Linked DNA regions of Mus musculus: regions 1, 3 and 4 are each reported to be linked to region 2. The links are microRNA targets in miRTarBase. Many come from high-throughput screens and were not tested one by one. Region 2 holds a microRNA gene; each other region holds the end of a gene's coding sequence.
The links. Region 2 holds the annotated microRNA mmu-miR-466e-5p (GAUGUGUGUGUACAUGUACAUA, at 4,560-4,581, opposite strand). A microRNA usually pairs through its seed, bases 2 to 8, with sites in the 3' UTR of a target mRNA and lowers its output. Matches are read on the target gene's strand: a 7mer-m8 pairs with bases 2 to 8, a 7mer-A1 pairs with bases 2 to 7 and ends in A, and an 8mer does both.

Region 1: miRTarBase lists Enpp4 as a target of mmu-miR-466e-5p. Seed matches in the 3' UTR shown: 7mer-m8 at 851-857.
Region 3: miRTarBase lists Wdr46 as a target of mmu-miR-466e-5p. Seed matches in the 3' UTR shown: 8mer at 1,461-1,468.
Region 4: miRTarBase lists Slc5a8 as a target of mmu-miR-466e-5p. Seed matches in the 3' UTR shown: 7mer-m8 at 1,289-1,295 and 8mer at 2,642-2,649.

Annotation. Positions count from the first base shown.
Region 1 is chr17:44,092,963-44,100,074 of GRCm38, reverse strand. It overlaps Enpp4 (ectonucleotide pyrophosphatase/phosphodiesterase 4), which reads left to right. Exons shown (of 4, transcript NM_199016.2): 4 at 398-3,766. The coding sequence ends at 762. Among named protein-coding and RNA genes, the nearest start is that of Gm34917, 9.3 kb to the left of the region's middle.
Region 2 is chr2:10,476,554-10,483,679 of GRCm38, reverse strand. It overlaps Mir466e (microRNA 466e), which reads right to left and starts at 4,592; the gene lies at 4,509-4,592. The region is part of intron 10 of Sfmbt2 (Scm-like with four mbt domains 2); the gene reads right to left. It overlaps Mir466b-8 (microRNA 466b-8), which reads right to left and starts at 7,052; the gene lies at 6,967-7,052. It overlaps Mir669a-1 (microRNA 669a-1), which reads right to left and starts at 6,827; the gene lies at 6,731-6,827. It also overlaps Mir669g, Mir669j, Mir467a-2, Mir669a-4, Mir467b and Mir466c-1, and 2 more genes.
Region 3 is chr17:33,948,117-33,955,242 of GRCm38, forward strand. It overlaps Wdr46 (WD repeat domain 46), which reads left to right. Exons shown (of 15, transcript NM_020603.2): 11 at 104-417; 12 at 527-621; 13 at 720-815; 14 at 957-1,070; 15 at 1,162-1,579. The coding sequence ends at 1,299. It overlaps B3galt4 (UDP-Gal:betaGlcNAc beta 1,3-galactosyltransferase, polypeptide 4), which reads right to left and starts at 3,372. Exons shown (of 1, transcript NM_019420.2): 1 at 1,796-3,372. The coding sequence starts at 3,146. The coding sequence ends at 2,031. Rps18 (ribosomal protein S18) reads right to left here. Exons shown (of 5, transcript NM_011296.3): 2 at 6,962-7,060; 3 at 4,287-4,475; 4 at 4,105-4,196; 5 at 3,882-4,002. The coding sequence ends at 3,927.
Region 4 is chr10:88,925,316-88,932,441 of GRCm38, forward strand. Slc5a8 (solute carrier family 5 (iodide transporter), member 8) reads left to right here. Exons shown (of 15, transcript NM_145423.2): 14 at 391-470; 15 at 895-4,200. The coding sequence ends at 1,020. Among named protein-coding and RNA genes, the nearest start is that of Slc5a8, 43 kb to the left of the region's middle.

The sequences.
Region 1 (7,112 bases), not on the chromosome of region 2:
ATGGTGTTGCTTATTAGAACAACTGAGAGAGTTAAGTCTGGAATCCCATCCCCCATTCAGTGTTCTTTCTTCTCTCCCAGTTGTACAGGACCCTCAGCTCTTGCAACTAGCACTGGGGATGAGTAGGTGAAATAAGGGGCTTAGAGCTGAAACATAAGTACCTCAGGTTGAGAAGTGTTGAAGTCTAAAGCTGTGGTCCCTGGGAAAAGAGGTGTGTGCGTGTGAAATGCAGGCTGCCTTAAGCTGAAGGAAACAGATTTTCACGTCTGGCTTCTGTTTAGTGCAGCCAGCCAGAACCTTAATGGATGGAGACAAGAAGCTGGTGTAGTTATAGTGAACAAGATATTCTGTAGTAAAACACTGATGTTTAATAACGTAATTTTGTCTTTTCTTCCAGTAGGTGACCATGGCTATGATAATTCCCTGCCTAGTATGCACCCGTTTCTTGCTGCCCACGGACCTGCCTTTAGAAAAGGTTACAGGCAGAGCACCATCAACACTGTGGATATTTATCCAATGATGTGCCACATCCTGGGACTAAAACCACATCCCAATAATGGAACCCTCAGTCATACCAAGTGCTTGTTGGTGGACCAGTGGTGCATTAATCTCCCAGAAGCCATTGGAATTGTTGTTAGTGCACTATTGGTATTAACCATGCTAACAGGCCTCATGATATTCATGCGGAGCAGAGCATCCACATCCCGTCCATTCTCCCGTCTTCAGCTGCAGGAAGATGACGATGACCCTTTAATTGATTAATTCACCATGTCTTATTAATTTCAAAACTAAGGATCCATGCAAGGAGTGGTGTTACAGCCATAAAAAAGGTATATTTCAAAAGACAAGACACACATGGCAAAATTACTCTGGGGTGTGTGTGTGTGTGTGTGTGTGTGTGTGTGTGTGCCCTGTTTTGGTGTGTTGCCTGATGCAAATAACCCTGATGGTATTTAATTGCTGGTAAATCAGTTCAAACCACTAATGTCCCTAGCAAGACTAGCCTTTGAGAAAAAACAAAACAAAACAAAAAAACAAAACAAAACTTGAGTCCTTCTTCCTTCTTTCCTTCCTTCCTTCTTTCTTTCCTTCCTTCCTTCTTTCCATTATTCTTCCTTTCTTCTTTCTTTACTTTCAATGAAATATATCTTTAAGTGAAAATATACCAGAATTTAATAGGCATGCTTTTCTAACAAGTTTATATATTTGTAAATGACACAAAACTATTTATGTAATTTGTGCATTTTGTGTACCCTAGAGAAAAAGTTGCATATATTTTTATATTTGTCTTTAGTTAGTGTGTGTCCCAAGAAAACCCTTGAGATAGGAAATTCTGTGATAGTTAATAAAACCGATTAGCCACAGGGCATAACTGTAGCATACAAAGAAACTGTTTTAAATAAAGCTGCTAAAAACAATCAAAACCCAAGGAAGACTATGTGATGTAGAGCCCGAGCTTAGTAAGACCCGTCAGCTGTTGACACCTCAGAAGCTGAGTCTGGGGCTGGGCACAGTGGTGCACACAAGTAGGAAAGATGAGGCAGAGGCCTTGAGATGGAGTCCAGCTTGGTTACATAGCAATACCTTGGGGTTTTGTTTGTTCATCTGTTTGTTTTAGTTACATTTTTGGATACTATTGTTTATAAGAAGTTTCAAAGAGCATAGAGAAAAATTCTTCTCTGTTTGTGTTTAACGTCTCTGAGCAAGTTGTGTGTGCCAGTGTGTTTGTATGAGTGAATGTGCAGAGGTCATGTGACATGTGAAAGGGACATGTGCCAGAACACAGCTGTCGAGGAAGGTTCGGCTCAAGGAAAGGCTACTTCTTGCAGACTTTATGCGCATACTTTTACCAACTCATAACTTAATATCACTATTAAAAATACCATATTTTTGTTATAATTTTCAATTCTCATGTTTATTGGAAGTGTTCAATGCTGTAGGAAAAAAAATATGACGAGAGTATAAAGCTGCAAGGTCAGGGTTTTGAACTTGACCTTTGTGGCTCTTGAATGTGCCTTCTGTGCAGTCGAGTGGTCAGCCATGTAAAATGGAGTTGAGTGTCTTCTGCCCTGGCAGCAGCTGCGTGCTAAGGGCAGAGCAGCTCCAGCCCTGCTACTGCTCGCTTGCTCGCCTGACTCATCATAACTCCGAGAACCAGAGAGTTGTTGGGAAGCACTGTCATCATTCACTCCCTCCACAGCTGGGTCCTCAGAGCCAGAGCTATCAAAACAGCCTACATGATGTCCATTGGACAACAGACCACTGCTTCCTGGTACTGGGGTGATCTCCCGCATTCTGACAACGTAAAGCAAACTTGATTATTGCTCTTGAGACGCAAGATGGGTCTAAAGTATGCAGTGCAGGTAGACACCGATGATCCGTGATGACTCTCGACACTTGTCAGTCATCTTAGATTTATTGCGCTGAACTGGCTCACTGTGAATTTCCTTAAAGTTTGATGTCTGGAGCCTCATTGTATTTGGGTTTTGAGAGGCATTTCTGTACTGCGTACATAATCTATGCTCTTGGTCACAGAATGGATGTTTTAAGAACAGGATAGGAATGATTTTGTTCATAAGTGTTCTGATTTATTTTGTTACATGCAGTAGAGATACTAAAGGTTGAAGGGTTGATCAAGTAAAACAATAGAGAAATCTCTGCTTATTTCAATTTCCATTTAAGAAAGTAACAAACTGCAATATTCGCTTTGAGAAGAAGTAGGTGGGCACTTAGGACTTGTCTCCAGCAGAGTTGAAGACAGTTTAGCTCCCACAGTGCTGCGGATCCCAGCACAATCCCAGTGCGGTCTCCTTCCCCTGGCTGCACCTTACACTTGGTGTCCATGTGTAGAACAGACTTTTATAAAGGCTGGGATGGGAAGGGATGCTCTGCCAGTGTCTTAGTCCTTGCAGCACATGGATTTATTTTGTATTTTATTCTGTTCTCAGAATACTAAAACTAGTTAAAATGTTATAAAGTGCTTATTCAGGAGACAAGAATAGTATTTGTTTAATCAAGTATATTATCATATTGAACTTTCTGCTAGTTCGTTTGTATCCTTGAAAAACAAAAACTAAAGCCCCTGGCTGTAGTTTTGCTCTGAGAAAACCTTCTTAGTAAAGATAGGCTTTGACATGGAGATTTAGTGTTTGTGTTAGCTAAACCTGCTCTGCTTTCTGTTCAGGAGAAAATATTTGGCTTCCAAAATATTTAGCTCTTGGTGATAGTACCCAAAGATAATGGGAACGTGTTTGTCTGTGTACTTGTTGGTAATTGCACTAGTCAGCTCAGAATTTAGTACCTTGACTCTCTAGTAGAGGTCCAGGTGTGTTCCTGTTAGCCACCTATCATGTGTGCTCTTCTGTAAAAGCAGTAGGGTATGGCAAAGGCGTGCTGGCAGTGCTGCCCAGAAGGTTTCCTTTAAGAACCCACAGGTAAAGCCTTGGGATATTAAAGGCTCTGCCTTTGCACTGGTCTTGGATGTATCCCTCTCTGCCCACCTGGGAAGCTTTAAGGCTTGTTGGCTTTAATTCTTTTTGTGAAGAGTGGCTCATTTCATTTTTAATTTATAACATTACAAAAGAAGGACAAAGATTAGGTGTAGAGTATGTATTTATTGTCAGTTCTCAAACAGCATGTAAATATAGTGAGTGTGCTATAAGGAAGTTTGCAGTGCCTTAAGTTAAAGGGAGTACATTGTTTCAACTTGTAGATAATGACTTTGCTTATGATTAAAATGTATGTAAATAAAGTCTACCCAAACAAATATATCAGCCTTCTTAATTTGTCAACTTACAAAATGTACATACTGTGAAAACTGAATGTTCATGACTTGAGTGGTTCTATAAAGACCTTTACAGACATTCATTACAGATCTTTTTTAAAACCAGGATTAAAGGTATATAACAACCAATTTTTAAAACAATATATAAAATACATATAGTATGAAGGCATCATTGGCAAGAAACCCAGAGTAAATTTGCACAACCTCTTGAACTAAGATTAATGGCTTAGAGTAAAAGGGAAGAGACTATAAACTGATTACTGAACAGTGGGTGTGGTTAGAGTATTTAAACTTTGTCTTTTGCAGAACTATAGACCTTTAGTGACTTACCAAAAGCCTATGGATTCAACTACATTCTCTCTAGGAGAGCATTCAGTCAGTCAGTATTTTTAAATTAACCAAACACTGGTAGGAACTAAGAAAACTATTTGTTCTTTACTCTGAAAGAGAGGTCTTTAAAAATTGGGAACATTCATATGAATAGATGACACACATCTACCTGCAGTTTAGCTCTTGCTGTTGAGTTTCACGGAGCCAGAATAATTTCCTAGGCCCTCCACTTCTAGAGCTTAGATGACGCTTTGCCACTTTCTTTACCTAGTGTTGTGTATCGCTATACTGTCCTTCTCCCAGCACATACCCCAGGCATTGCTTGAGAGACTATGTGAAAGTCCAAAGATCCATTTGGGTCCTGCGGTGCTGTCATACAAGATGATGGTTTGTATTCTAACGTTTGTGAGTGTAGTGATTATCAGTGTCAACGTGGAACTGCTCTCACTCACGTCCCAGAGGTAGAACTGTTTGGCAGGCACACACTGGACTGCTACTCAGGCCTTCTGCCTACCTGTGGGCCCATAGGGAGTGGGACTATTAGAAGATGTTACCTTGTTAGAGGACGTATGCCACAGTTGGGGACAGCTTTGAGGTCTCATAAGCTCAGGCTTTGCCCAGTGTGACACACAGTCTCCTGCTGCTTGCGGATCAAGATGTAGGAACTCTCAACTCCTTCTCCAGGGCTGTGTCTATCTGCATACTGCCTTGTTTCTTGCCATGGCAATAATAGACTAGACCTCAAGCCAGTCCCAATTAAATGTTTTTCTTTATAAAAGTTGCTGTGGTCATAATGCAATGTGGTCATAGCAATAGAAACCCTAAGACAAAAGTTGGTACCAGGAACTGTGATATTGCTGTGAAAGGCCTGAGCATGCTTTTGTTTGGAAGAATGTGGGTCCTTGGATTTTGGGTTAGAAAAGCATTTGCACACATTAAGTGGTGTTTAATGGGCCATCTAATAGGAACATGGAAGAAAGTGGTGCTGACAGTGATTTGAACTGTAGAGCGCCTGACCCAGGAGGTTTTAGAGAAGACTATTAATGGCCTAGAGACTATTCTTGTGATAGTTTGGCAAAGAATTTGCCTGCATTTTGCCATTGTCCAAAAATTCTGCCTGAGGCCAAAGTGAGGAATTTTGAATTAATTGCATTGGTAAAGGAAATCTCAAAACAGCCTAGTTTAGACTCCATTTTGTGGTTACTAATGTTTACCCTTATGAAGCGTGTACTGCTGAGAAGAAGCACGCTGAGCAAGGAAAAATACAAAATGTAGAGATCAAGGAGAAAAGGGGCACCAGGAAGCAGAATTGAGCTAAATTTCATGTTCAAGGAGATAAACAGATTAAAGACATTAAATGATAAATGGAGCCGTGACCTCAAGGCAAGATCCCACCCAGTTATGCTTCCATCTTGTAAAAAAGGAATTAAAGAATAGCTTAGGTCCTTGTCCACCCCTTCCAGTGTGACAGCCTCATGGCCAGTCCTCTAGTTAGTGTATGTTTCATGGCCACCATGCTTAACCTCACTTTCATAAAGACTGTGGATAATTAGCTCCGAAACAAATCCAGAAATTATCCATAAACATACTTGAAGAGTTTAGCACTCCTCGCTAATTGGTTAGACTAAAACCACCCCTTCCACCACGCCCCCCATCCCCAAATAAACCTGGGGATGTCAACTCAGGTGTGGTGTGACTTACGTGTCATTGAGAGAACACTGCAATCTAAGCTGCAGAGGACATTCTTTTTATAGGCCCAGATCAAACAGGACTCCTGATTATGCTGAAGAAATCAAATGATGTTTTTTTTTTCATTCAAACTTCGTGTGACAAAGGTGCTGTCCTTGTGCCTTGCCTTACTGCTTCCTCTGCTTTTGCTTTAATATGTGAAAAGACAAGGAGAAGTTTATTCTCCTAATGGTAAACTGTGTGACTCAAACAGCCATCCTGCTAAAGACTGGAGAATTGGAGAAAAAAACCAGAAAGGTAGTGCTCAAGGTTTAAAGATGTTCAGAGGAAGTGAAGAATCCACAGGCTGAGGCTGAAAATGAAGAACTATGTACATGTGAGCACCCAATGGCGTCTGAGTATTCTAGAAAAAATTGTGAGGCTGAGGATCTGGCCTCATCATGGGGCAGGCCAGGGGTGGGGACTGAACAAGTACAGATGTTTCCGTATATCATTTAATCAGAAATCTATGTTCTTTGGTACAACTAAATTTGTATGTACAAATGAAATGGATAATTTTCTAGGGAGTTATTAGACATTGAGAAAAATACAATGGAATGATTTCTTGACTTAATTTATTTTTAGAGTGATTTTTAGTTTGCATATATACTGCACTGTGTCATGGAATAAATATAGGTATTAAAATGTTTTCTATAGTGAAGCATGATCATATCTACCATCCCTTAGTCATGGTATCAGTTTCTGTATCTAAAACAGGTTCAGAAGTTTCTAAGCTATCGTACAAGAACGTAACAGGTGAAGACAACAGACCTCTGAATCCTTTTATTTTTTTAATTAGTTTTCATTTGCCACCATAACAAGAGTTTTAAGAAAAAATAATTTTTAGGTGAAAAAAAACCCTTGATATCAAATCAAGGAAAAATAGAACAAGTTTCTTGAATGAGACAGCTAACGAAACGGAAATTTAAACTTGAAAACAAATTACATGTAAAGGAACAAAGCATTGGAATGAAAATGGCAGGGGTTAATAAAATTGGATGGAAAAACAGTATCAGAAGGTAGTGTACAAGAGAGATACCTCAACTGCAACATTGCATATTGCAAACAAATGCATGGAAAGTCGTTATCCAACCATCATCTGGATTAGCTGGGCTTGCTATGAAAAGCTCGCAAGACCCAGCTTTAATCTGGAGAGCAGCAATGCATTGTGGTCAAAGGAAGGGGCAGATGTGAGGAAGAGCCAGCATTTAACACCAAACCCTTTGAAACATACACATGGAAGACTGATGAAGCATCCCTAAACATACCT
Region 2 (7,126 bases):
CATACATAGGGGCCATCACATTATTCCAGGATGATCTCTAACTGCTCATGAAGTTAAGCATGAAATTGAACTCCTGATCCTCCTGACACTGCCAATTATTTACACCTGGTGAGTGAGACCTTCACTGTCCCTCTACTTTATAATCAGCAAAATTCTAAGACATATATCATTCAAATGGATCAATGAGTGTCATTCTTATGTGTGTGAGTGTGCACGCCTGTGTGTGTGAATACATTTGTATGTGTGTGTATTTATATGTATGATCATATACACACATGTACGTGCACACACAATTATATGCACTTGTGCATACCTAGGATCCATCACACAAATACAGGGTGATCTCTAACTCATTATGAAGTTAAGCATGAATTTGAACTCCTGAGACTCCTAACTCTGGCAAGTGGTTTTCATCTGATAAGTGAGATTATTCCCTATACCATGAATATACACTCAATGAAATTATAAGCACGTATAAATCAAATGGATGACTGCCATGTGTGTTTGTGTGCACATGTATGTGTCCCTAGTTGTGTGGGTGTGTATACATATATATATATATATATATATATGCATGTTCATATACGCGCATGTACAGGCATACTTCCCTATACACATAAACACAAACACAGGGAAAATCACATGAATTCCGGGCTGATCTCTAACTCATCATAAAGTTAAACATGAATTTGAACTACTCATCCTCATGATGCTGGCAAGAGTATTCACCTCCTAACTGTGTCATAGCTCAGGCCATTCGAGGGAGTATGTTTGCATGTGAGTATATGCATATTCATATACAGAAGTGAATATGTACACAACTATACACACATGCACATTCTGGTGGGCATCACATGAATCGCATACTGAACTCTAACTCATCATGAAGTTAAACATAAATTTGAATTCCTCATCCTCCTGACACTGGCAAGAGTACTCACCTCCTAACTGAGACATAGCTCTGGCCATTCCTATGAATGTGTGTGCATGTGTGTATATGCATATTCATATAGAGAAGTGAATATGCACACAACTATACACACATGCAAATTTTTGGTGGGCATAAGATGAATCCCATGCTGGTCATGAACTCATCATGAAATTCAGCACAAATTTGAACTCCTGATCAACCTGACTCTGTGAAGGGACTTCACCTGCTGAGTGAGACCTCTCCCCATTCAGTACTGAGGAATCTTAAAACTCTAAGTCACACGTCATTCAAATGGATCGATGAGTTGCACTGATGTTTGTGTGTGTGTTTCTGTTTGTGTCTGTGTACATGTATATATTTGTGTAGATAGGTACATCCATATACTCAAATCCACACACAATAGAAACAGATACAGATAGAGATACATAGGGGGCATCACATGAATCCCAGGCATATCTTAAAGTCATCATGAAGTAAAGCATGAATTTGAACTCCTGATCCACAATCTGTCACACCTGGTGAGTAAAACCATTCACTGTCCCAAACTGCATAATCTAAAACTTTAAGTCACATATCATTCAAACGTATAAATGAATGCAATTTTTTTCTCTGTGTCTGTACTTGCATATACACGTGTGTTTATATTTTGAATATCATGTCAACAGAGGCAATGCATATACAAGTAAACACACATGCACATACATGGGTGGCCTCATATGAATACCAGGATGACCTCTAACTGAATTAAGCATGAATTTGCAATCCTTATCCTCCTGACTTTGTCAATCTTTTACACCTGGTGGGTGAGGTCATTCAATGTCCCCTATTGCATAATCTCTAAAACTCTACATCACTTATCATTCTAAGGGATTGGCGAATGCCATTCCTGTGTCTGTGTATGTGTGCTTGCGTTTATACGTGTGTGTGTATGTTATGTATATTCAAATATAGACATGAACATGCACACACAACTATACACACATGCACATACATGGAGGAATCACAGGCTGATCTCTCATGAGGATAAGTGTAAATTTGAACTCCTGATACTCTTAACTCTAGCAAGCATTTTCACTCTAAGTCACTTATCACTCAAATGGATTGATGAGTGCCATTCCCCTGTGTCTGTGTGCTCATATGTGTCTTATGTGTGCGTGTATGTATATGTATATCATATTCACATATGTACATGCACACACACATCAACACATATACACATACATAGGGGCAATCACATGAATGCCAGGATGACCTCTAACTCATCATGCCTTTACCATGAACTTGCACTCCTGATCTTCCTGACTCTATCAAGGGTTTTCCCGTGGTTTGTGAGACCTCACCCTGGCCCAGTCATACATAACCTCCAAAGCAGTAGGTCACATATCATTCAAATGGATCCGTGAGGGACATTCCCGCATGTCTGTGTGCATGTGTGTGTTGGTGTGTGTATGTATATGCATAAAATATACACGCATATACATGCAGGCACTTACGCACACGGGCACATACAAAGGGGCCATCACATTATTCCAGGATGATCTCTAACTGCTCATGAAGTTAAGCATGAAATTGAACTCCTGATCCTCCTGACACTGCCAATTGTTTACACCTGGTGAGTGAGACCTTCACTATCCCTCTACTTTATAATCAGCAAAATTCTAAGACATATATCATTCAAATGGATCAATGAGTGTCATTCTTATGTGTGTGAGTGTGCATGCCTGTGTGTGTGAATACATTTTATATGTGTGTGTATTTATATGTATGATCATATACACACATGTACGTGCACACACAATTATATGCACTTTTGCATACCTAGGATCCATCACACAAATACAGGGTGATCTCTAACTCATTATGAAGTTAAGCATGAATTTGAACTCCTGAGACTCCTAACTCTGGCAAGTGGTTTTCATTTGATAAGTGAGATTTTTCCCTATACCATGAATATACACTCAATGAAACTCAAAGCACGCATAAATCAAATGGATGACTGCCATGTGTGTTTGTGTGCACATGTATGTGTCCCTAGTTGTGTGTGTGTGTGTGTATACATATATACATATATATACATATATATATATGCATGTTCATATACGCGCATGTACAGGCATACTTCCCTATACACATAAACACAAACACAGGGAAAATCACATGAATTCCGGGCTGATCTCTAACTCATCATAAAGTTAAACATGAATTTGAACTACTCATCCTCATGATGCTGGCAAGAGTATTCACCTCCTAACTGAGTCATAGCTCGGGCCATTCGTGGGAATATGTTTGCATGTGAGTATATGCATATTCATATACAGAAGTGAATATATACACAACTATACACACATGCACATTCTTGGTGGGCATCACATGAATCGCATACTGAACTCTAACTCATCATGAAGTTAAACATAAATTTGAATTCCTCATCCTCCTGACACTGGCAAGAGTACTCACCTCCTAACTGAGACATAGCTCTGGCCATTCCTATGAATGTGTGTGCATGTGTGTATATGCATATTCATATAGAGAAGTGAATATGCACACAACTATACACACATGCAAATTTTTGATGGGCATAAGATGAATCCCATGCTGGTCATGAACTCATCATGAAATTCAGCACAAATTTGAACTCCTGATCCACCTGACTCTGTCAAGGGATTTCACCTGCTGAGTGAGACCTCTCCCCATTCAGTACTGAGGAATCTTAAAACTCTAAGTCACACGTCATTCAAATGGATCGATGAGTTGCACTGATGTTTGTGTGTGTGTTTCTGTTTGTGTCTGTGTACATGTATATATTTGTGTAGATAGGTACATCCATATACTCAAATCCACACACAATAGAAACAGATACAGATAGGGATACATAGGGGCATCACATGAATCCCAGGCATATCTTAAAGTCATCATGAAGTAAAGCATGAATTTGAACTCCTGATCCACAATCTTTCACACCTGGTGAGTAAAACCATTCACTGTCCCAAACTGCATAATCTAAAACTTTAAGTCACATATCATTCAAACGTATAAATGAATGCAATTTTTTTCTCTGTGTCTGTACTTGCATATACACGTGTGTTTATATTTTGTATATCATGTCAACAGAGGCAATGCATATACAAGTAAACACACATGCACATACATGGGTGGCCTCACATGAATACCAGGATGATCTCTAACTGAATTAAGCATGAATTTGCAATCCTTATCCTCCTGACTTTGTCAATCTTTTACACCTGGTGGGTGAGACCATTCAATGTCCCCTATTGCATAATCGCTAAAACTCTACATCACTTATCATTCAAAGGGATTGGCGAATGCCATTCCTGTGTCTGTGTATGTGTGCTTGCGTTTATACGTGTGTGTGTATGTTATGTATATTCAAATATAGACATGAACATGCACACACAACTATACACACATGCACATACATGGAGGAATCACAGGCTGATCTCTCATGAGGATAAGTATGAATTTGAACTCCTGATACCCTTAACTCTAGCAAGCATTTTCACTCTAAGTCACTTATCACTCAAATGGATTGATGAGTGCCATTCCCATGTGTCTGTGTGCTCATATGTGTCTTATGTGTGCGTGTATGTATATGTATATCATATTCACATATGTACATGTACACACACATCAACACATACACACATACATAGGGGCAATCACATGAATGCCAGGATGACCTCTAACACATCATGCCTTTACCATGAACTTGCACTCCTGATCTTCCCGACTCTACCAAGGGTTTCCCGTGGTTTGTGAGACCTCACCCTGGCCCAGTCATACATAACCTCCAAAGCAGTAGGTCACATATCATTCAAATGGATCCGTGAGTGCCATTCCCGCATGTCTGTGTGCATGTGTGTGTAGGTGTGTGTATGTATATGCATAAAATATACACGCATATACATGCAGGCACTTACGCACACAGGCACATACATAGGGGCCATCACATTATTCCAGGATGATCTCTAACTGCTCATGAAGTTAAGCATAAAATTGAACTCCTGATCTTCCTGACACTGCCAATTGTTTACACCTGGTGAGAGAGAATATTCACTGTCCCTCTACTTTATAATCAGCAAAATTCTAAGACATATATCATTCAAATGGATCAATGAGTGTCATTCTTATGTGTGTGAGTGTGCATGCCTGTATGTGTGAATACATTTGTATGTGTGTGTATTTACAGGGATGATCATATATACACATGTACGTGCACACACAATTATATGCAAATGTACATAACTAGGGTCGATCCCACAAATCCAGGGTGATCTCTAACTCATCATGAAGTTAAGCATGAATTTGACCTCCTGAGACTCCTAACTCTGGCAAACAGTTTTCATTTGATAAGTGAGATTTTTCCCTATACCATGAATATAAACTCAATGAAACTCTAAGCACGTATAAATCAAATGGATGACTGCCATGTGTGTTTGTGTGCACATGTATGTGTCCCTAGTTGTGTGTGTGTGTATATATATATATATGTATGTATATATATATATATATATATATATATATGCATGTTCATATACGTGCATGTACAGGCATACTTCCCTATACACATAAACACAAACACAGGGAAAATCTCATGAATTCCGGGCTGATCTCTAACTCATCAAAAAGTTAAACATGAATTTGAACTGCTCATCCTCATGATGCTGGCAAGAGTATTCACCTCCTAACTGAGTCATAGCTCGGGCCATTCGTGGGAGTATGTTTGCATGTGAGTATATGCATATTCATATACAAAAGTGAATATGTACACAACTATACACACATGCACATTCTTGGTGGACATCACATGAATCGCATGCTGAACTCTAACTCATCATGAAGTTAAACATGATTTTGAACTCCTCATCCTCCTGACACTGGCAAGAGTGCTCACCTCCTAACTGAGACATAGCTCTGGCCATTCCTATGAATGTGTGTGCATGTGTGTATATGCATATTCATATAGAGAAGTGAATATGCACACAACTATACACACATGCACATTTTTGGTGGGCATAAGATGAATCCCATGCTGGTCATGAACTCATCATGAAATTCAGCACGAATTTGAACTCCTGATCCAACTGACTCTGTCAAGGGATTTCACCTGCTGAGTGAGACCTCTCCCCATTCAGTACTGAGGAATCTTAAAACTCTAAGTCACACGTCATTCAAATGGATCGATGAGTTGCACTGATGTTTGTGTGTGTGTTTCTGTTTGTGTCTGTGTACATGTATATATTTGTGTAGATAGGTACATCCATATACTCAAATCCACACACAATAGAAACAGATACAGATAGGGATACATAGGGGGCATCACATGAATCCCAGGCATATCTCTAAGTCATCATGTAGTAAAGCATGCATTTGAACTCCTGATCCACAATCTTTCACACCTGGTGAGTAAAACCATTCACTGTCCCACTACTGCATAATCTTGAAAACTTTAAGTCACATATCATTCAAACGTATAAATGAATGCAATTTTTCCTGTGTGTGTGTGCTTGCAGATACACGTGTGTTTATGTTATGTATATCATGTCAACACATACAATGCACATACAAGTAAGCACACATGCACATAAATGGGTTGCATGACATTAATACCAAGATGTCTCCAAATGAAGTTAAGCATGAATTTGCAATCCTTATCCTCCTGACTTTGTCAATCTTTTACACCTGGTGAGTGAGGCCATTCAATGCCCCCTATTGCATAATCTCTAAAACTCTACATCACTTATCATTCAAAGGGATTGGCGAATGCCATTCCTGTGTCTGTGTATGTGTGCTTGCGTTTATACGTGTGTGTGTATGTTATGTATATTCAAATATAGACATGAACATGCACACACAACTATACACACATGCACATACATGGAGGAATCACAAGCTGATCTCTCATGAGGATAAGTATGAATTTGAACTCCTGATACTCTTAACTCTAGCAAGCATTTTCACTCTAAGTCACTTATCACTCAAATGGATTGATGAGTGCCATTCCCATGTGTCTGTGTGCTCATATGTGTCTTATGTGTGCGTGTATGTATATGTATATCATATTCACATATGTACATGTACACACACATCAACACATACACACATACATAGGGGCAATCACATGAATGCCAGGATGACCTCTAACTCATCATGCCTTTACCACGAACTTGCACTCCT
Region 3 (7,126 bases), not on the chromosome of region 2:
GGGTGGGACTAGTCTTCCTTCATGTTCACAGTAGATACTTTGGACTTGGCCACAGGCTCTGGTCAATCCCCACGAGAGGCTAATTGATCCATGTCCCACACAGGTACATGGCCACCTCTGGTCTGGACCACCAGCTGAAGATCTTTGACTTGCGAGGGACATTCCAGCCCCTGAGTTCCCGGACCTTGCCCCAGGGAGCAGGGCACTTGGCCTTTTCCCAGCGGGGACTGTTAGTTGCGGGAATGGGTGATGTGGTCAACATATGGGCAGGGCAGGGCAAGGCCAGCCCACCCTCCCTGGAGCAGCCCTACCTCACCCACCGGCTCTCAGGCCACGTGCATGGGCTCCAGTTCTGCCCCTTTGAAGACGTGTTGGGGGTGGGGCACAGTGGAGGCTTCACCAGCATGCTGGTCCCTGGTGAGTGGCCCAGCGTCATTACAAGTGTGAGAGGCCGTGGGCCGGTCAGTCCAGAGTTGCAGGACGAGGTTCAGCTCCATGCTCTTCCCTCTCTGCCTCCCTCCCTCAGGGGCTGCGGAGCCTAACTTTGATGGTTTGGAGAATAACCCATACCGGAGCCGGAAGCAGCGCCAGGAATGGGAGGTGAAGGCCCTGCTGGAGAAGGTGAGCTGTGCTGGAGCCCGGCCCTCCCTGGCTCCCATCCCTTTCTGGTGTCACCTCCCCGTGGCTCCTTACACATCGCTGTCCTGTGACCCTCGCAGGTACCTGCAGAGCTCATTTGTTTGAACCCCCGAGCCCTGGCAGAGGTGGATGTGGTCACTCTGGAGCAGCAGAAGAAGGAGCGGATAGAGAGACTGGTATGGAGCCACCTGCTATGTGCGCAGCCCGAGTGTCCAGCCCTCGCCTCTATACCCCACCCCATCCTGAAGTGCAGCGCAGGATATAGGTGCTGCCAGGGCACTGGGCCTGCTGTTGACCTCCTTCATGTCCCATGCCAGGGCTATGATCCAGACGCCAAGGCTGCCTTTCAGCCCAAGGCCAAGCAGAAGGGCCGAAGCTCTACGGCGAGCCTAGTGAAGAGGAAGAAGAAGGTCATGGACCAGGAGCACAGGGTATGTGAGCTCGGGCGGGTGTTGGCATGCACGCCTGCAGCCTTATCAGCCTATGCTCAGTGCCTTACGCTCCTTTCCCACCTTGTTCCAGGACAAAGTCCGGCAGAGCCTTGAGCAGCAGCAGCAGAAGAAAAAGCAGGATATGGCCATGCCTCCTGGAGCCCGTCCCTCTGCACTGGATAGATTTGTACGACGAGCCAGAGAAGGCGGTCTCCAAGTTGACCCTTAGGGGCCAGAGTGCTCAGTGGGCAAAGGCACTTGATGCCAAACTTGAGTTCAGTTCCCAGAAAACACGTTTGGCAGGAGAAAACACACAAGTGTCTTTTTACCTTTCCATGCCCACATGGGGCAGCGCGCACACACACACACACACACACACACACACACACACACACATATATAAAGGGAACACAAAGATCCATAGGGAAATTGTCCCATGTGCCTTACATCTTAACTGGGTAGGAGCAGACAGCTCCTTGGGTGTGTGGGCATTAAACAAGGTTTCTGGAGACGTGTCTGGACCATCCTGTAGGTCTGCTCTTCCCTGTGTGGCTATTCTAGACTCAGCTCACTGCCCTGCCTGTCTCCCCACCACTGCCCAAGCCTTCACCCTAGAGGGGGGCGTTATCCCCATTGTGGTTGTCGCAAAGACCAACATGCAGCAGTACTGAAAGCTCTGGGCTCTCCAGGTGTGCTGGGGGCCTGGTGAAGACGCTGCACTTGAGGTAGAGAGACATGTTTATTGGACCCTTGTCCCTGCTTGTGAGTCCCCTTCCCGCCCTTGGCTTTATCCCTCCCCGGAGCTGGCAGGCCAGGGCCCAAGTTTATCTTGGTAAACTTGGTTGGTTGCAGCTTCAGAGTTTGCTGTGAGAAAATGGAGGAACTAGATCACCACAGGGATCTGCAGCCTCTGCACCAACTTTGGGGAAAGGTCTCTGAGGTGCTGTTTTCTGTGGGTTCTCAGCTACTGAACCAGGCTATGAACCGGCACCTCAAGGTACCCAGAAATCCCTGGAGCCAGGAGCAAAAGGGTGCAGTCCTCTCCCCATTCATGCCGCTCACCAGCTTCCAAGCTTCCTGCATTTGCCAGGGATCCACCTTGTGGGATGTCAGCAGGAACTTCCCGTAACAGCACCGATCCAAGGGGTAGTGGGTAGCACCAGCCAATTTGACACAGTGTGTGGGGGCAAGGCCCCCTCGCCTTGCACTTACTCCCACAAAGACATCCTCTAGAGGTAGAGGTGGGGCCCGGCTGGCCACCTTCAGGATGAGCTGCACAGCAGAGATGGACAGTACATATCCTGTGCCCGAGGCATAGGGTGGAAAAGGACCCCAGTTTTCCGGCCACAGTTCTTCTGACACATGGTGCCGGGACTCTGGTGTCCGAGTGGGTCTCACCCTCCAGTGCACCCTGCCTAAATACAGAAGGGGCACTGCCTGGCCTCTGTGCTCTTCATGGATAGCTGTTGTCTCTTCCTGGGCCTCTTTGCCCTTCTGCCATTGCTCCGAAGGCCCCCCTCTTTGTATCAGCTCTGACACCAGCTCTGGGACGTTGACATACACGTCATCATCCGTCTTGAGGATGTAGCGGGCCATAGGACAGTATTTGTTCACCCAGTTCAGTCCACTGAGGGTCTTGAGGGTGAGGTTGCGGTAGGAATCCTGGAAGGAGGCCTGCAAGATATCCCTGTGTGCTGCTGACTCTGAGGACAGGTCAGCAAGCTGCTGTCTTCTAGGTTTTCCCAGGAGGAAGAGCGTCTGCACTCTGAAACCCCGGGCTTCGCGGATGGCACCCCAAGATGCCCGAATGGCGTTTCTCTGGTTCAGGTGCTCCGGGGCCGTACACACCAGGATGAGCAGGAAGGGAGGGGGTCCGGAGCCACCACAGGCATGAGAGTTAGAAATCAAGAGGCGGGGCAGGGCGAGGGGCGGTCCTGGCGAGGCTGGGGCCGGCAGCAGGGATGCCAGGGACAGGCTCAGCAGCTCCTCCCCCAAGCCTGAAGGTCCAAACAGGGTCCAGATGATCACCAGTAGTAGGACCGCCAGGAGGACGCGCCGGAAGAGGCTGAGGGGCATGGCGTGCCGCAGAGACCTGTGGGCACAGCTGTTAGAGCGTGGGGAGGTGGGAGGACGGCTTTAACCAGCTGCTGCTGAGGAGACGCGGTGACCCATGCGCGGGGCTCTGGCGCATCACAGATGCTGTTCTCCAGATGCTGTCGTGCAATGCGGCCCTGGCCCACCACAGCTGGCCCCGGAAGGCTTCGTTTCCCTAGCTAGCGTGCACGCGGAACTCCGCTCCATCCCGCCCCTCCCCGCACCTTCCCATCATGCCTCTCTAGGCCGGAAGCCGACAAGCGGCGTGCATTTCACATAGGTCCAGCCCTTCCCGGTCCGTCCCTACTGTAAAGCACGCGGAATACCAGGCTGCTTTTCTAGAGCAGCCAGCATCTGCTGTTAACTCACCCGAGCAGCAGCATCTGGCGGAGCTGTAGCCACTTCACAACAGCTTAGCACGGCTACGGCAGGAGACTCAATTGAAGCCTGCCCAAGCTTCCCCTGGAGGTTTTCAACACCGGCTGCCCCACCTTTAACAGTGGTTGCCGCCCAGTTTGCTGCACCTAAGGCAGTCTCCTTGTGAACACCCAACAGAAAGGGAGGAGCAAACACCAGCAGGAGCCTATGAGGGACATTTCCGTTCAAGTGCACCAAGAGCACTGTACCCAGAAGGCACCTGCAGCCAGATTAAACTACCAGAGCTCAGGATCGCTGTGGCATTAAGTACTATCAGATGGAAGACAAACTGAGACGGAGGTCATAGGTATATAAACTATTTATTAACAGCAAAGGCCCAGAGACTCATTTCTTCTTGGATACACCCACAGTTCGGCCCCTGCGGCCAGTGGTCTTGGTGTGCTGACCGCGGACACGAAGGCTGCAGAAGAAAAAGATACAGGTCACAGAGCAGCAGGAGGCGAGCCGGTGGACTGTGCAGCCTGATTGGGAGTGGGCAGCTTAAGCCTCATCACCCACTTACCCCCAAAAGTGGCGCAGCCCTCTATGGGCTCGAATTTTCTTCAGCCTCTCCAGGTCCTCACGCAGCTTGTTGTCTAGACCGTTGGCCAGAACCTAGATTTTGAGACAGGGGAGACAACTTTATCTCCTGATTCTGCACCCAGTTTTAACGGACAACCCGTGTCCACCAGTCCCCTAACACACCTGGCTGTACTTCCCATCCTTCACATCCTTCTGTCTGTTCAGGAACCAGTCTGGGATCTTGTACTGTCGTGGGTTCTGCATGATGGTGATCACTCGCTCCACCTCATCCTCCGTGAGTTCTCCAGCCCTCTTGGTGAGGTCGATGTCTGCTTTCCTCAACACCACATGAGCATATCTCCGCCCCACGCCCTGAGGTCAAAAGTTTGGGCTATTAGACTTTTGTTTTTAAAGATCTGAGTACAGAGTTTTCAGAGATACCAGAGGGTATCAGAATCCATTACAGATGGTTGTGAGCCACCATGTGGTCACTGGGAGCCTCTGGAAGAAGTCATAGCTTTTAACAGCTGGATTCTCTCTCTAGCCCAGTCTATTTGTGTCTTATGTTTGCCTGCATTGTATGTCTGTGTGTCTGTGGCACACTGACCAGAGGCCAGAAGGCGCTGATGTTCTGGAACTGGAGTTAATGGTTGTTGAGTGTTGGGTCATTGAACCTGGATCCTCTGGAAGAGCAGCTAATGCTCTAACAGCCAAGCCACCTCTCCAGCCCCCTCACACACACCCTATTACTCAAAAGCAGAGGGGCTGTGCAGATGTTATCCCAGCTCCCTGAACTCGGGACTGCTATGGCCAGCCTAAGTTAGAGATCCTGTCATTTTTCAGATCACTTTCCAGAGACAAAGCCTGCCTACTAACTGAAGGGAACGCTGTTCGGGCCACACTGGACATGTGTCACAAACTCAACAAAAGCAGCACAGATGAACAAAGTCAAACCTTTAACAGGTTTTTTGAGCCCCAAGAGTGGGTGTGACTTTGTGACTACCAGAATTAGCGGGGAGGGGGAAGTGTCATTGAATGAGCTAGAGAAATGGCTCAGTGCACTGGCTGCTCTTCCAGGACCTGGACTATATACCAAGCACTCATTCATAACTCGAACTCCCAATGAGAGAGGATCTAAGTCACTCTTTTGGCCTCCAGAGGCACAGTATGCACAGACATGCAGGCCAAAAACCTTCACAACCCTCACCTCAGCCTCCATATAATTTTTTACTTTTCTTGAGCCTGTTTTACTGTCAAGCTGTGAGTTCTAAAGGTGCATGATGCCAGGTTGGTTATGGTGACAAGGCAAGGGACCTATGCTCAGCTACAAAGTGTGGCCCCACGCCCACCTTGCCTTCTGACTTAAGCACTAACTTAAATTATAAAGAACCGACTCCTAACACTTAAAGCAGTTTGGAGGGACTGGGATTCAGACAGTACTAGACTGCCTCACAGATAAGGGCAGCAAGCACTTCTGGTCCAGCACATGCCTATATGCTTCCAAATATTCAAATTCTCACCTTGAGTGAGCAGAAGACACTTCTTAATTAATACAGAAATCTGCCCGGCGTGGTGGTGCACGCCTTTAATCCCAGCGCTTGGGAGGCAGAGGCAGGCGGATTTCTGAGTTCAAGGCCAGCCTGGTCTACAGAGTGAGTTCCAGGACAGCCAGGGCTATACAGAGAAACCCTGTCTCCAAAAACCAAAAGAGGGAAAAAAAAAATTAAAGAATACAGAAACCTTCCCTGTCCTTCACCCTTTGTTGGTCAGCTTGCAATCACCTCTGGAGGAACTCACCCCGAAATCTCTCTCCTCAAACTCCCAATACCCACCACCCACCTCCCAATCAGCTTCACCCTTTTGTTTTCCAGGCAGGTTTTTTTTTGTTTTTTCTTGTGTAGCCCTGGAACTTATTGATCGGGCTGGCTTCAAGCCCAGAGATTTGTTTGCCTCTGCCTCAGGGAGTGCTGGCATTAAAGATGTGTTCTTCACCCTCTCACACAGGACCAACAGAACCCTCAGTACCCAGGCTCTACAAACACTGTGCACAGCCCCTTCAAGAGCCTCCATTCACCTTGTCTGCATTCGAAGTCAGCTGTAATCATCTCCCAGCAGGTCACACGGGGCACAGGCATTGCCCCAGGCCCTTCAACCCCCTAGACACTGCTCTGCCCACCACACCAGGCACCTCCTGCTGTGCTATCATTGTTTGCCAAAGTGCAGAATTAAAAAAAGTCAACATGGCAAGGACTTAAAAGTGAGACTTCACAAGGTTAAAAAAATTTACTCCAACTTTTATGTCCACCTGACATTACCTCGGCTCCCCAGGCCTCCTTCAAACCTCTCAGCAGCCACCCAGTTCCATCTATACCCTAGCATCCCACAAGGTCCCACCACTGACAGGTCTCATGGCTGAACACACCTGACCAGCAACTCCTCAAATCACCAACTTCAAGTCCTGTCCCTGTCTACAAGACTTTTAGCTCTGCAGAGAAACATCCCAGCTTCCTCCTACGACCTCCCTTTTTGCCATAATGGGGAAAACTGCCAGCTTCTGTGTCACCTTCCACTGTGGCATCTGCCAATAGCTTCTGCAGACCACCCCCAACCATCACCGCTAAGCCTGGACACCTCTTAGGATGTTAGTTTACAGGAATTCTACTCAAGGTTTGCTGACAGCAGAGACTGCTCTCGGAAGCTGAAGATCTCGGGAAACCTCTGCAAGGTGGGACATGACTACACTCACACCCCACTACCCCTGGAGCAATGTTTTGGTTTAACCCTGGGTCATCATCAGGCTTTTATTGAAACGGGTTGGGTGAGTTTAGCTGCTTCTCTTTTGCCCCTAACACTTTTACCTTAATGGCAGTGATGGCGAAGGCTATTTTCCGCCGCCCATCGATGTTGGTGTTGAGTACTCGCAAAATGTGCTGGAACTTCTCAGGGATCACTAGAGACTGAAAGAACACGGGCAGTTATCAAGACAGGTTACCCCCAAACCGGGAAGGTGGCCGAGGCAGGGT
Region 4 (7,126 bases), not on the chromosome of region 2:
TAGGTAGGTTGTGTGGGCTGCTTCTCATTTTTTATTTTTTTAATCATTTTTGGGACAGACAAGTCTTTATCCAGGTAGCACCAGATGAAGCAATCAGATTAGGATTGGGAGCTATTATCTCTCTGTATCTATTATCTCTCTATTATCTATTTATCTATGTAGATATCACAATATTTACATTTATCAGTTAGAAGCTGTGGGGTCCAAGATGGAGGAGAGGGGAGTGGCAGCTGGATCTTCAGGACTACTTTCAAGGTTTTCTTTGTATTTTATGTGTGCATAAAGCTGAATGTTCATAAGCCAGATGCCTGTGTGATGGGTGTGGGGGTGGGTTAATATGTAATTATAAGGTATCTGTCTAACTCTGTAAATAATGGATTTGTTTTTCAGGAGGAAGAAAACAGAACTTAGATCCCCGATTCTTACTAACCAAACAGGACTTTTTATCCAATTTTGATGTTTTTAAGAAAGTAAGTTAGGTTTTATTTATTCTTAAATTAGGAAACTGGGTTTTTAATTACCTGAACAGAGCAATAGTTAGTCCCCAGCTCTTTTCTTGGACAGGCACACAGAAGGGATATTTCTATGTCTGTATCTGTATGTGTATATGTGTACCTGTAGATGCAGGTATACAGTTAATAGATATGAACTATTTAAGAGAATATATGGCTGTCGATAGATAGTTCATAACTTCTTCACACACATGGCTATTCATAGCTCAAATGCATATCGTATACCACGCTAGCTTCTGCTGCCTTGTGTATGTTTGCATTTCACTCTCCCTTAGTGGATTACCAAGCTGATTTAGAGAAATAAAAAGTTGGTATCAGTTATCTGTCATTGAACAAATAATGATTTTTAAAAAAAATTTCCATGTTACCCTTTATCTTTCAGAGGAATCATGTTTTAAACTATAAATTGCATCCTGTGGAAGTTGGTGGAACTGATAACCCTGCCTTCAACCATGTTGAGCTGAACTTCACAGATCACAGTGGCAAGATCAATGGGACTCGCTTGTGAAGCATCTCCAGGGCTAGATGACATTGTATAATGTCTGTTTTGTTTTTGTTTTGCTTTTCTTTAAACATGTTTTAGGATAGTTGGATCAGATCAGTTTTTTCCTATCATGATTGTTTTTGGAAGATATATTTTATTAAAGCCAAATCCCGATTTGGCTCACTTTATACACTGGTTGATTGATGCTATCCTGGAGTTAGGAGTTTCAACACGAGCTCTGGTTGTGGATGTTTATAACTACATACATGTGTGAAAGGCAAATACAGACATACACACATGGTTCTTGATAATCAAAGGCATATTCTTACGTTTGGGCATTACTGAAAACATTTTACATGCCTTTGGTGCTAGTATATGTATATTCTGGGAACTTTACTAGAATAATAAATCTTGGAAAGAGATTTCTTTCCTCCCCCTGAATATCCTGTTTCTAGGCAGCAGGGACAGGAGGAGGAGTAGAGCACTTCTGTGGACTTTACTTCTGGATCAGCCCATGCTATAACCTTGCCTCTGAGTCTGCCTCTGAATGGGTAAATAGCAGCATCCTGCCTAGGATACACTAGGTACCCAACGATCAAGTTCATCTTTAATGCATTCTTGTGCCTGTTTTTCCTCTGCTGAGATTCCTGACAATTGCCAAGTACAGTGCTTTTCATAGACTATTGACTATAGATTATAGACCATTGACTGTAGACTATCAACTATCGACTATAATTTTTAATCTTTATTCCCAACTTCTGTTCTAATAACCTTGCTTTTGTAGAGCATGTTACCTGGACTTAACTGTTCCAGCTTCTTGCTTTTTGCCCTGGGTTTAGATATGTCTTGAGACATCCAATATAAACTATGTCACCTCTTTCCTTCAGTCCCCAGATCCCATCCTGTGCTAACACATGCTTCTTGTGTATTGGGTAACCCAAGAACATTAAATATTTGAAAACGGTGAAGTCCCATGGAGTCGCACAATTGCTTTTAATGCTGTTAAGTTGAATTACTAATTCATATAGTTAAAGAACTTCATAGGGAAATACTTCTTTATTTTTTCACATGTTTCAGGTTATTAAATGCATGCTTTTTTTCTATTTTCTAAGATTTCAAGCAGTAATTTCAAAGTTCTTAGCCATTTATTTGGCTACATTCATAGCTAAAACTTGTGTTACAGAGTTTCATCAATAACTTATTTTTCTATGATACCCACATTAGATATTGCTTAAATTTTTAAAAAGTTTTCAATATTTTAAGAAAAGAAATACTGATATTTTAAAAATAATTCATAATTTTATACATATTTTTGGTCTATTATATTTGAAGGCTATACTATTTACTTTTAAAGGCTCTTAACTGATAATAAAAACTAAAATATCAAAAATATTAGCATTTATCTGAAACAAAGAGATTTATATGCCATTTGAATCAACTATGTATTCATGTATTTCTTATGTATATAGATCTATTTATTGATTACTATATTTGTAAACAAAAATCAAGTTTTGTGATTATCTTGCAGTACTCTAATGAGCATGGTTATGTAATTTTATATATGTAATCTTATATAACTATGATTTGAAGTATAGTTATTTATTAGATGATTCTGAAAAAAAATATACATATACATACACACACACACACATACACATGATGCTTCAGTTTTGGCAATGAGAATCAGGTTATTTGATTAACTTTTTCTTTGATCTGACTGCACAAAGGTTACTCAACGTGTTCTTCATGAGAAGTGGTATTCCAAACGAGTTTGTCAACTTCCTGTAAGACAAAGTATATCCTTGTGAGATTTGGAAATACCACTGTCTTATTTTTACAAATGCACAGGAATGCCAGATAGAATTCTTAAAGTCAAAAGATGTTGCTATTACTTAAAAAGTATTTATTTTTAACTTTTAAAACATGGGACTAATATAAATATGAGGGATATGTCAGCATATTACAATGTAAAGTAAATAATCTTTTCTTAGTTTTATTAAAACACAAAAACCTTAATGGAAGAAAACAATTGTACAGGTTGTCTGTCAGTGTCTTGCTGCTGACAAGTATGCCTTTGACTTTGCCCTTAATTTCATTTAATGCTGATATAAGAATGAGGCTGCCCACCTCAAAAAAGTAGTGTGAAAGACCTGAGTTTTGACAGACCAGGATTTCATTAACTCAAGTGATTTGAGGCAAATATTATTTGCTAGGTTTTTTTTGAACTAAGAAGAATCTTTACTATCATGAAGTAAAAAAAACAAAACAAAACAAAAACAAAAACAAAACCCTTCCCTAAAAAATATGTGCCACAGGAGTAAAAATACATTTGAGAATCAACAGGAAAGACTATAAACCTTAAAGAAAGACATGATTCAGTCCTATTCATCCTACAGAGAGGTGAAAACTTTATAGGTCAGGTGTAAAACATCACAGAGTCATGTTATCAGTAAGTGGATTGTTTGCATGCTCTCTTTTTTTCTCTTGAGACCAGTAGTTACCAGCATGGGTCATTGTGTTTCTCTGGTGACATGTGGAGACATTTAAGTGTCCCCAATGAGATTGCTGGTGCCATGTATGGAATTAGGTTCAGGAAAGTACCATTAGCACTCTGGATAATGACCACACACTTTCAGAGGAGTCTGAAATGTGAACACATTTTCACAAGTCGTGGGTAATTATTTAGACCAGTCTTTGGCCAGCTCAGCTCCTTTACGTGGTTTCTAATATGGCCCCACATTAGGATGTTATGAAATACATGACTACTAAGATCTCTGAACTTCATCTTACTTATGGAAAGCACACGTCATGTGGTTTGTTTCATGAAATAAGCTGAACATATGATGTAGACACATTGGGTAGGGCTGAGCTTGAGAAACACTGAAGAACTCTGTGAACTGATTCCCTCTGAATCTTCCCATGAAGATTGTTGATAAGGAGGCAACCAAGGTAAAGGGCTGCGGTTCAGCGGTAAAACTCTTACTGAGCTTGTGCAAGATCCTAGGCTTCCTTCCCAGCATCACTGAGAACGGGGGCAACCTAGTGCATGTCCGTTTAGCTCTTAAAAACGCATTGGATGCATTTAGAGTCAACTTTTGTACCACTGTTTGTGAAAATATTGGGAAAGTTGAATATTTCTATGTAAAATATGGTTACAAACTTATTTTTTTTTCAATTTGCTGATTAAAATTTCCATAAAAATCATTGCAGTTATCTGTTCTTGGAGTAAGAATCTGATTGGATATAATGAGCATTATCAAAGGCATTTCCTGCCTATTTACTCCGTAAGGGACTCTCTTGAAGTAAATACTGTGTATACGTCATAAAATATGAAAGCAAACGGACTTGTACAACTTTGTCATCGAGGACCATTTTATATTTTAAATAACATTGTATGTGAAGGCAGAAATGCCGGGTTTGCATGCTGGCTGACTGTACCTCAAACAGCTGTGAATGAAAGCTTGGTTCACAGGGTCGAATTCCTGGGAGACGGCCGAGGCTGTGGGGAGCAGGGTCCAGTGCATGTCTTTAGATCATAAGCATTGATGCCCTCAGAAGTGATTGTTGTGTGTATGCCATCATCCTTACTTCTGTTTCTGATGTGTTAAAGCTCTGACCACTTGCTTCTCTCCCCGTCCCAGCTATGATGAGTCATTTTCGTCAGAGGCTGAAGCACACGGCCGCTTCAGCTATGCCTTGAACTTTGAGAACTATGAGCTCAACCAACCTTGCCCTTTTAAACATTTAATTGACTTGGGTATTTCATTGTAGTAATGTGAAACTCACTAATACAAAGGGCACAAAACAGGTAGACTAAAGGATCTATAGTCCAGGGGAGGAACCCTTGCCTAGCATGCAAAAGATTTGACACAACATAAACAACATAAAAGTACAAAACAGGGCAAACTTTTCTGTATCAACTTCAAATTTTAGTTGAGAAAAATTAAAAATTAGTGTGAATAATTGCTGGTAGTAGCAGGACTTCAGATTAGCGTTAGAAACACAAAATCTAAACATTTTCATCTTCTTGAAAATAAAGATGCCATTTGAAGTTTTAAAGTTAAAGTTTTCATCTCAAAGCTATAATTTTCTTGCTGTAAAATTCAGTGGTCAATCAAGCCGATAAAAGGTTTAGGTACAAAAGATGACCATGGTTATACTCAATTGCCTAATTTGGAAAAAGTTTCCTACAAACAGCTGCCAAATCTCCTGTTTGGCAAGAACTTCCCTTTTCTTTGGCCACTTCGGGTCATTCATTGGATTGAAGGACCTATTTGCTCCCTGCCCAATCACAGGGTGAGGAAAGTTCCAATTTTCTAGAGAGGGGAATTCACGTGACCTTTTTCACCCTGAAAGTGAGATGAGATCTTTGCGATTTAATTTCATCAAGCCGAAGGATACTTTGAGAAGTACCAATTTTATCCTTCATTCCTGTTTCATGAGCACTCCTTTTTCTCATTTTAAAAATTCCCATTTTACTTTCCTCTTTGTTTAGGCGGACTCACCTCAAAGGGCGCTGAGTGTCTGTTGAGGGTGTTTCCTCACAGTGTTCCCGTCCACTTCTGCACAGGGAGCTCTAGGATCCTCTTCTGTTTTCCTCTGCTCCCCTTTTGTCCCCTGGATGCCCCACAGTGGCCACGTCACAGTCTGGCCTGGCCTGTGTCGGCATCACCTGGGCAGGCTGGGCTGTACACCTGCTTTCTGATTAGGCAGCACTGGCACAGAGCCCTGGATTTGAAGTCTCCGTTTCTCCAGGAAGATGGCGGTTCCGGTCTGTGAATCACTTAATGACTGACGATTGTGCTGCTAATCCACAGTGACCTCTTTGGAAGCTCAATCTGATGACCCTCTTGACTCAAGAGTTGCTATGTCCTCCTTGTATAATAAAGCCCACACCCTTCAGTCAGAGGTTTTTGTTTTGTTGTTGTTGTTGTTTTCGAGACAGGGTTTCTCTGTATAGCCCTGGCTGTCCTGCAACTCACTCTGTAGACCAGGCTGGCCTCGAACTCAGAAATCCACCTGCCTCTGCCTCCCAAGTGCTGGGATTAAAGGCGTGCGCCACCACTGCCTGGCAAGTCAGATTACTGTGCTGTCACTTTCTGTGTCACACGGAGAAGTCCCATGATGCACTATGCATGCTACACACTCCTGTTTTCTCATTATTTTAAATGCTCTCCTCTTACATGGGCAGCCCAACAAATACCTTTGAAACAAATAGTTGCTCAGCTGTTAGAAGCTCGCAGCATGTACCTCATTTCCCTTTCTTCTGTTTCTTTGGGTGGTTTTATCTTGTACTTAATGACACCTTTAGCAATTTCAACATACTTCACACATGTAGGATGCACTCAGCTCTCTCTTCAGTGGTACACACGACTCTATTTCTGCACTGGGATGTTTTCTGTTAGCTCGTGTTTTCCCTCCCAGCTCCAAGCTCCCAGAATAACAACTCCAAGACTTATATTTATTTACAAATGCCTAGGCCAAAGCTTTGCGTATTCTCCAACTAGCTCGCAATTTAATATTTTGTTTATTCTGAGTTCTCCCATGTGGCTAGTTACCTCTGCTCAGCTTTCATGAGTCTGTCCTCCTTAAGGGTCCTGGGGACAATCCTCTGTGCTCCTCTCTATCCCAGAATCCTTTGTTCTTACTGGAATTCCCACCTCCTATTTCCTGCCTAAGCTAATAGGCCAACAGCATTTTTTTATTGACAGGTGAATAGTTTTATAGAGTACACAAGGCATTATCTTTACATTATCTCTACACATTTGTGATGTTTTGTTCATGGGAAGGGGCAGCCATTCCAGTTAGCTTCCTGGCTTCTCTCTGACCCTTTGTTCTTCAATTGTTCACGGAAACAAGGAACAACTACAGAGCTCAGCCAATTTGAAAGAGGGGTTAGTCCTAGGACTTGGACACAACCACAGACTTTCTCCACTTAGGAGCTACTGCTTGAAAGATGTAGACCCCACCTCCTTGCACAAATTATCTCTATCGCTCAAGCCTGGATCAGCACACCCTGCCTCAAGGTTATTGAACTACTTGGGGGACTCTAGCAGTCATATGGGTCAGTCTCTGAATTATTACAAGTTTTTTTATTAAAATGTCACAATCCAGCTAAGGTATTCTTTGG